2 linked regions of the Arabidopsis thaliana genome follow. The protein of the gene in region 1 interacts with the protein of each later gene in a pairwise test. Each region holds a gene or a part of one and is shown on either strand. Other genes may lie near its edges.

Region 1 (4,746 bases):
ATATCGCCAAAGTTTATGATAACTTTTTTTTTTTTTTTTTTCTGAGCGACGGTTAAGGCGTTAACCGCTAAATTGCGTTCCGATGAAAAATTGACGAAAATGTCCTCACTAATTACTTGGGCTTGAAAACAGATATTTGGGCTTTAAAAAGCCTAAGTAAAAAGTGCCCAAAAGACTCGTGGAAACAATAATAACACGCGCATCGCTAGAGCTTACGTTTGACGCGTATCGTCGACCACAACATCGATATCGATCGAGCCGACAAAAGAAAAAAAATTATGTGAACATTCCTCTTCTTTCTTTTTTGGTTTAAATGTTAACATTCCTCTTCTTTCTTTTTTTGTTTAAATTTGAAGAATCCTCTTTCTCTCTCACAATCACACGAATCTTGTCTTCTTTTCTCTCCGTCTCTTTCGATACTTGGCTTCAATCCTGTGACGTCCTGTTCTATTGTGCCTTAATCGGGTAATCTAAAACAGAACATACACTATCAGTTTTTTTTCGTGCCCTGCTTCTCGAAGTTTCCGATTGTGTGGTTGGTTGATACATATCTCATTGATTATCTTTGTTACTGTTACTTTCATCTCTTATCTCATTCAATTATAATCTAGGGTTCTTACTTCTTCTTTCTTCCCTCTCCGCTAACTATTTGGCCTGGACACCTTTTTTATTTTTTTTATTTGAATCATTATAGTAATCGTAGCTTTGTAGATTTCTTGCTGTATAAATCTCTAGAAAATCGCTCAACGGTTCACGGAATGTGATTCAAGAATCTTGTTTATGTTTGTTCTTTGATTTAGGTATCTAGGTTCGTGTGAGAAAACAGAACAATATAATGTATCCTTGTGGTTACGTTGCTCAAGTCACCAACTTGTCTCCTCAAGCCACTGAGAAAGATGTTCATAGGTTCTTCTCTCACTGTGGTATCGTCGAGCTCGTTGAAATCACCGGGTAACAACAACGTTCATTGTTCAGTAAATTATTAATCATTCTTGAATCTGTTTATATTTTGTTTCATGTCTCCATGGATTTCAGGTGCCAAGGGGATGCATTAACGGCTTATGTAACCTTCAGAGATGCGTATGCTCTGGATATGGCTGTGTTACTTAGCGTAAGTCCCTTAATTAGCTAGAAATTTCCAGTATGATCTTCTTGGCATTGATTTTAATGTTGATCTTCAGGGAGCTACGATCGTTGATCAAACCGTTTGGATATCGGTCTACGGTGTCTATTTACATGAATCTAACAATCTCAGACAAGAAGAAGACTATAGTGTTACGGTAACATTAAAAACAATACTTACTAGGTTACTTTAGGTTATAAGCCAAAGATTCTCGAAAATGTTTCTTTGTAGGTGACTCGTTCAGACGCGTTTGCTTCATCGCCTGGAGAGGCCATAACCGTGGCTCAACAAGTTGTGCAGACGATGTTAGCTAAAGGCTACGTTTTAAGCAAAGACGCGATTGGTAAAGCCAAAGCTTTGGATGAGTCTCAGAGATTTTCAAGCTTGGTAGCGACCAAATTGGCAGAGATCAGCCATTACCTTGGCCTCACACAGAACATTCAGTCGAGTATGGAACTCGTGAGATCAGCGGACGAGAAGTATCATTTCTCGGATTTCACTAAATCCGCGGTTCTTGTCACGGGCACAGCTGCTGTAGCCGCAGCCACCATTACAGGGAAAGTGGCTGCAGCTGCAGCGACTAGTGTGGTCAACAGTCGTTACTTTGCTAATGGGGCTTTATGGTTCTCAGATGCTTTGGGCCGGGCTGCAAAAGCAGCGGCCCATATCGGTGGAGGAGGAAGCAATTGATGTAAAAAGTCTTTGGGCTTCCTTGGAAAACATAAATAAATGATATGTGAGGTTTTAAAGCATAAAAGGTGTTGTGAAAAGAAAAAGAAAAAAAAAACCATCATGAAGATATGATTAGTAACGTTACATGATCGAAAATATTTGAGGCAGAAACTATAAAATAACTTTATTACATGAACTGGAGAATATATATGAAATATAATAATAAGCCTAAAGCTTTTAAAATATTAAGGATGGGTCCTAGAAACCTCCCTAGCTTGATCCTTTCCTCATTCTTTCTCTCTCTTTCTCTTATATGAGAGGTTGATGAGATCCACAAGAAACACCTAACTCATTTGATAGTGATTTCCAAATCTGCAAACAACAAAGTATATTTGATCATCACTATACTGATTTCACAATCCATTAATCACTGATAGGTTTTTGGTGGAATACATACATGTATGTGTTTGATCCAACAACAGAAGCTGGATTGAGATTAGAGATGGCGTTTCCTCAACATGGTTTTATGTTCCAACAACTTCATGAAGACAACAGTCAAGATCAGCTCCCTTCTTGTCCTCCTCATCTCTTCAATGGTACTATACTCTCTCTTTCTCTCACTATTTCTCCACATAAATAGATTTGAGTCATGAATTCTGTTGGTGTATATAGGAGGAGGAAACTACATGATGAACAGATCTATGTCTTTAATGAACGTGCAAGAAGATCATAATCAAACCTTGGATGAGGAGAATCTATCAGACGATGGGGCACATACTATGCTGGGAGAGAAGAAGAAGAGGCTGCAATTAGAGCAAGTTAAGGCATTAGAGAAGAGCTTTGAGCTTGGTAACAAGCTGGAGCCAGAGAGGAAGATACAACTAGCTAAAGCATTAGGGATGCAACCAAGACAGATCGCGATTTGGTTTCAAAACAGGAGAGCTAGGTGGAAGACTAGACAGCTCGAGAGAGATTATGATTCACTCAAGAAACAGTTTGAGTCTCTTAAATCCGACAATGCTTCTCTACTTGCCTATAACAAGAAACTCCTTGCTGAGGTATGTATCTATATAAGTAAGTATATATGTGTGTTTATATAGTAAATAAGGTGTTTAATTCAACTTTCATTTCTAATTTGATTGTGTTTGTTTTTTTCTTTGGTTTTTTTATTTTTGGTTTTGCACTAATAGTAATAACCAACGTAAAATAAATCTAGGACTACAAATATTTTTCTGATTATTGGCTTGGATTGGTACTATTTATGTAGTATATATATATGTGTATATATATCAGTGTATATATATATATATATGTATGTATCTTGTGTGTATTAAAGTCGTTTAATACGAAATGCAATAGATTATTGTTAGGCACATGATCCAACACTATAAGATGTTTGTCAAAAGACAGTAGGTGTTTTGTTTATTAATAAAAAGGATTCTTGATCAATATTTACAATTTAATTAATACATTCCCATATGACTATCAAGTAATGGCATGTGTGCGCTAACCAAATTTGACAAGAATACTGATTTTTATATCATATCATTTTTGTGTGTTTTAAATGATTTTACTACTTATTGAAATGTAATAGTTACAAGATTTTCAAAAATTACTTAAGCTAAGTATATGTAAATATATAATTTACATATATAGTCTTACAGTTTATCTATTTTAAGTTATTAGTCATTTTAAAAATATTTTGTTAATTTAAATTATATATAATTATGTTTATTTTAATGATATATAGAAATGATAATTTTTAATATCTGAATTTCTAAAACTTAACATTTGAATTGTGTGTGATGATGGTTAAAGGTAATGGCTTTAAAGAACAAAGAATGTAATGAAGGAAACATAGTAAAGAGAGAAGCAGAAGCTTCATGGAGCAACAACGGAAGCACAGAGAATAGTTCAGACATCAATCTGGAGATGCCTAGAGAGACCATTACAACACATGTGAACACGATCAAAGACCTATTCCCTTCATCGATTCGATCATCTGCACATGATGATGATCATCATCAGAATCATGAAATAGTTCAAGAAGAAAGCCTTTGTAACATGTTTAATGGCATTGATGAAACGACGCCGGCTGGTTACTGGGCATGGTCTGACCCAAACCACAACCACCACCACCACCAGTTCAACTGATTCATGATTCTAAAGCTCAAAAAAAAGTCATCAGCACGCATCAAGACAAATGATCATAATCATCATCATCATATCATCAGGAGAAGATCAAGACACAATTCTTCTCTTTGGAATTATGTTATTGCTACTCATTTCAATTTAAATTAATGGAGCATTTTGTTTTCTTTGGGTTTGTAGAGCATTGGTGTATAGTGCGAAAATTTGTTGTTGCTTTAATTTAATAAAAATCATAAAGTTCTTTGCATTCGGCCGTAACATTGTTAGATGTATGTGGATTGATCACAGTTTACAATATATGTAAATGGTTCAAAAAAGCATAACCACTCTCTTTTACTTCCCGAACAAAACTCTCCTCTAACCAATTGAGTGAGATTAAAAATCATGATTTTTCTCAACTTATATGTCCAATTTTATATATATATGATGGGTTGGTACAAATTTATTAAGAAAGTAAGGATATAAAAGTGAGAAAGATTCATATGCATGTGACTTCGAGTGGGATTCCAGCTCTGTCTTTGACATAACATGATCCATGACTAATATTATATGCAAAGATTATTTTAATATATATTTTATATTTTATGATTTTATCTTTGCAAGTTGCAATTTAAATCTTAATGGATTAATGGAACCATTAACTTTTTATTATAAAAAAAAAAAAAAACTATGCCATGCGTCACGTAGTTGCATGTAATACCAAATACAGTATTCACGTTCACTTCATCTACATAGACATATCTATTCTTTGTTGGTTCAAAATTGTTTTGAGTGAAATGAATCTATTCAATGGTAGTAAT
Region 2 (3,498 bases), on another chromosome or scaffold:
ACTGGATGACATTTATATTAAGTTTTAACGTATTTGTAAACATAATTAGCTAGAATGATTTACCAAATAAACAATAGTTCAAAATACACAAAATTATTTATTTTTCTTCGCATTGTTAACTGATATCAAATGTTAGATGCACTTGAAAAAATGTTGTTATGGATGGAACAAACAAATAATATGATACAAACCACTAAAACATTCAACAGCAATATAGAGATAAGATTATCGATATGGTTAATGTATCCATATCAAACGCTTTTCATGTTGAAAGATAAAGATAATTGTTAATGTATCCATATGAATCCATCCACAACATAACTGTATTAATTCGTTTGTCTGATTGGATAATTCACTATGACTGGATGACATTTATATTAAGATTTACAAATAAACATCAATCCAAAGTACATTATCCATGTTTCTTTGACCATTTATCCACATGTATATAGACATGTTGATACAATTTTATCGAGCTATAAACATATTCGCAGCAAATCAAAGACATATTTGTCCATTAATGATTGTCCAAGCAGTCCAGTCCATGATCATCTAAAGACTCACATGATAGTTTCATACTAATACATAAGTTTATACATGAACAATAAACGTCAATCCAAAGTATATTATCCATGTTTCTTTGACCATTTATCCACATGTGTATAGACAGTCAGTTACGTAGACCTCAGTCAGTTAAGGAACTTCTCCAAATCTGCCAACATCTCTACATATTTTAATGTAGACGTAATAGGTTGGTTTGAGGATACGAGGACACCGTCAACAATGAGGAGATAAGCAAGCCGAAGTCTGTGGTAAGAAGATAAGGTCTTGTGATTAACATTTTTGAAATATCACCTAACGTAGCATTCATGTCTTCACCTATTAGCTCTTCACAATGTTGGATATTATAAATAAAATTAGCACACGGTTGAATAATTAGAGCAAATAAAATGATTGGAGAAGATTAATACCTTGCATTTGAGGACCGAGTAGAAGTTACTAGCACACGCCGGAGACGACGAATCGATTGAGAGACAAGAAAATGAAGACCATGACGGGAGAACAAGTGTTGACGACGACGACGGGAGAGGACGAATTAATGTCGGCCGATTGAAAGCTTTGTTGACGATAACGACGGGAGAGGGACGAGGAAATGACTTTGCCGGTAGAAAACTCGTTGGGATGATCGCCGGAGTCGAGATGATGTTATCGTCGTTGTGATGATTTTAACTGCCCAGATAAATGAAACTGTAAAATCGTCGTGAAGGATTGGGTGAGAAAAAGAGGTTTCTCACAAATTGGTTTTAGTTTAGAGATTGAGATTAAAAAATTAAACCGAAAACCGGCTAAATTTGTTAGGTTTTGTTAAACTAACGATTTCAGGGTAAAGGGGTAATTCTACTGAGTTAAAGTGACTAATGCTTTTAAAGTGCCTATTTGTGGCCAAAGTTTCAAAATAGTGCCTTTACGTGTAATATTCTCGGATAAATAACCACCATATATATTTACCAGGCTAGAGTTTAGGAAATTACTATAATACAATAAATCAAAGCATTATGGAGACATGATAATTTATAGTTGTCTACATACTAAATAAACATACTACGGAAAATAATAAATTGAAAACACTATTTGATGACAATATGTTACATGATTGCTATTTTCTTACACTTTTCTTTATTATCTGGCAAATAACAAAGAAAAAAAAAAAAAAAAAAAAAAAGGAGCGAGTCGCATGGAGTTCCAAATTTGGTTGGCAAGGTATCCATAAATAGAAAAGTTGCCTAGTTTCATGCACTAAGCTTAACCATAAAATCAGATTGATCACATGTGGTTAACATCAATCACAAAAAAAAACAAAGAGATAGAGATATGACTGAGGAGAGCCCAGAAGAAGATCATGGGTCTCCTGGAGTAGCTGAAACAAATCCAGGAAGCCCTTCTTCAAAGACCAACAACAACAACAACAACAACAAAGAACAAGACCGGTTTCTTCCCATTGCGAATGTCGGAAGGATCATGAAAAAAGTTCTTCCCGGTAACGGTAAGATCTCAAAAGACGCTAAAGAAACCGTTCAAGAATGTGTCTCGGAGTTCATTAGTTTCGTCACTGGTGAAGCTTCTGACAAGTGTCAAAGAGAAAAGAGGAAGACCATCAATGGAGATGATATCATTTGGGCTATCACAACTCTCGGTTTCGAAGACTACGTGGCTCCATTAAAGGTCTACCTCTGCAAATATAGAGACACCGAAGGAGAGAAAGTTAACAGCCCAAAACAACAACAACAAAGACAACAACAACAGCAGATTCAACAACAGAATCATCATAATTATCAGTTTCAAGAACAAGACCAAAACAATAACAACATGTCATGTACTAGTTACATCTCTCATCATCATCCTTCTCCATTCCTACCAGTGGATCATCAACCTTTTCCCAATATTGCTTTCTCTCCTAAATCATTGCAGAAACAGTTCCCGCAGCAGCATGATAATAACATTGATTCAATTCACTGGTGAGAGAGACATTTGCTTTTTTTCTTCTTTCTTTTCACATATTATATGCTTTTCTTTACCTTTTGTGAGTACATCTTGATGCTTATATATATTTGTTGCTATATAGACACTAGACACGTACATTTTGATATTTTCAGTATACCCATGGTTTTGTGTAACAGAAATTCGTCTTCATATATTTTCCGGATTAGTTCGTCTCGAGCAAATATAGCAATCTCTCATGATTTACAACAGTAGAAACTAATTCCATGCTGCTAATTGGATTAGAATACTTACCACCTACGGTTTGAGAGTTAGTGGTCTAGCTTATAAGGTTTCCAGTAGAGAATAGCTTAATTGGAAGAGAATGGTGTATTGTTTCTCATTCATTTACTCATGTTATGATTGATAAAGATGATTGCTTGAATTAAAGAACTTCAAATTGTTCCTCACTCACTACTCTTAGTATCTTGACCTGAAACTATAAGTTATAAAAGTAAATGCATTTCTAATACGATGTATGTAAAATGTTGCTGCTATGAATCTGATTGAATATAACTTCTTTTTTACATATAAATAAGAGAAAGTGGAAGCTATGAATCTGATTGGATAACAAACAACCCAATTATATATTTTTTTTTTTTTTACATAAGAACAAGAGAAAGCAGTAGCTATGAATTTGATTGGGTATAAAGCAACCCCAATTATAAATTTTTACATATAAATAAGAGAAAGTAGACTTATTCATTTTGGGAACCAAACTTAGTCATCCTTGTAGACCAAAGTCGGGTACTCTGGATTCCACATGTTGTTTTCCACATACTCCATCAGCCCCTCCTGCGGAATACACAAGACCGCGTCAACATAACTAACATTTAGGCTTAGTTTCTGGTTTAGTCTTTATTTTCTCTAAGTGAGAAATCAGGTAAACACTCTTCTGTTCTTTACATATAATCAAACCCGATCGACATTCTTCGTAGAATACGATTTTATGATCAGGAG

The links. Proteins that work in one complex are often made in the same cells at the same time.
Region 2: the proteins of HB20 (region 1) and NF-YB7 interact in binary tests that used the Arabidopsis thaliana proteins (3 or more experiments, as listed by UniProt).

What each region holds. Positions count from the first base shown.
Region 1 is NC_003074.8:71,347-76,092, forward strand, and holds HB20 (homeobox protein 20), read left to right. Parts: upstream 1-1,960; 5' UTR 1,961-2,252; coding exon 2,253-2,391; intron 2,392-2,467; coding exon 2,468-2,853; intron 2,854-3,613; coding exon 3,614-3,949; 3' UTR 3,950-4,193; downstream 4,194-4,746. Other genes in the region: RP2 (PPDK regulatory protein 2), read right to left, coding at 1-2; AT3G01210 (RNA-binding (RRM/RBD/RNP motifs) family protein), read left to right, coding at 836-951, 1,036-1,111, 1,182-1,280, 1,355-1,813. UniProt on the Arabidopsis thaliana protein: Probable transcription factor.
Region 2 is NC_003071.7:5,654,864-5,658,361, reverse strand, and holds NF-YB7 (nuclear factor Y, subunit B7), read left to right. Parts: upstream 1-1,843; 5' UTR 1,844-1,872; coding exon 1,873-2,520; 3' UTR 2,521-2,971; downstream 2,972-3,498. Other genes in the region: NAD-ME1 (NAD-dependent malic enzyme 1), read right to left, coding at 3,259-3,333.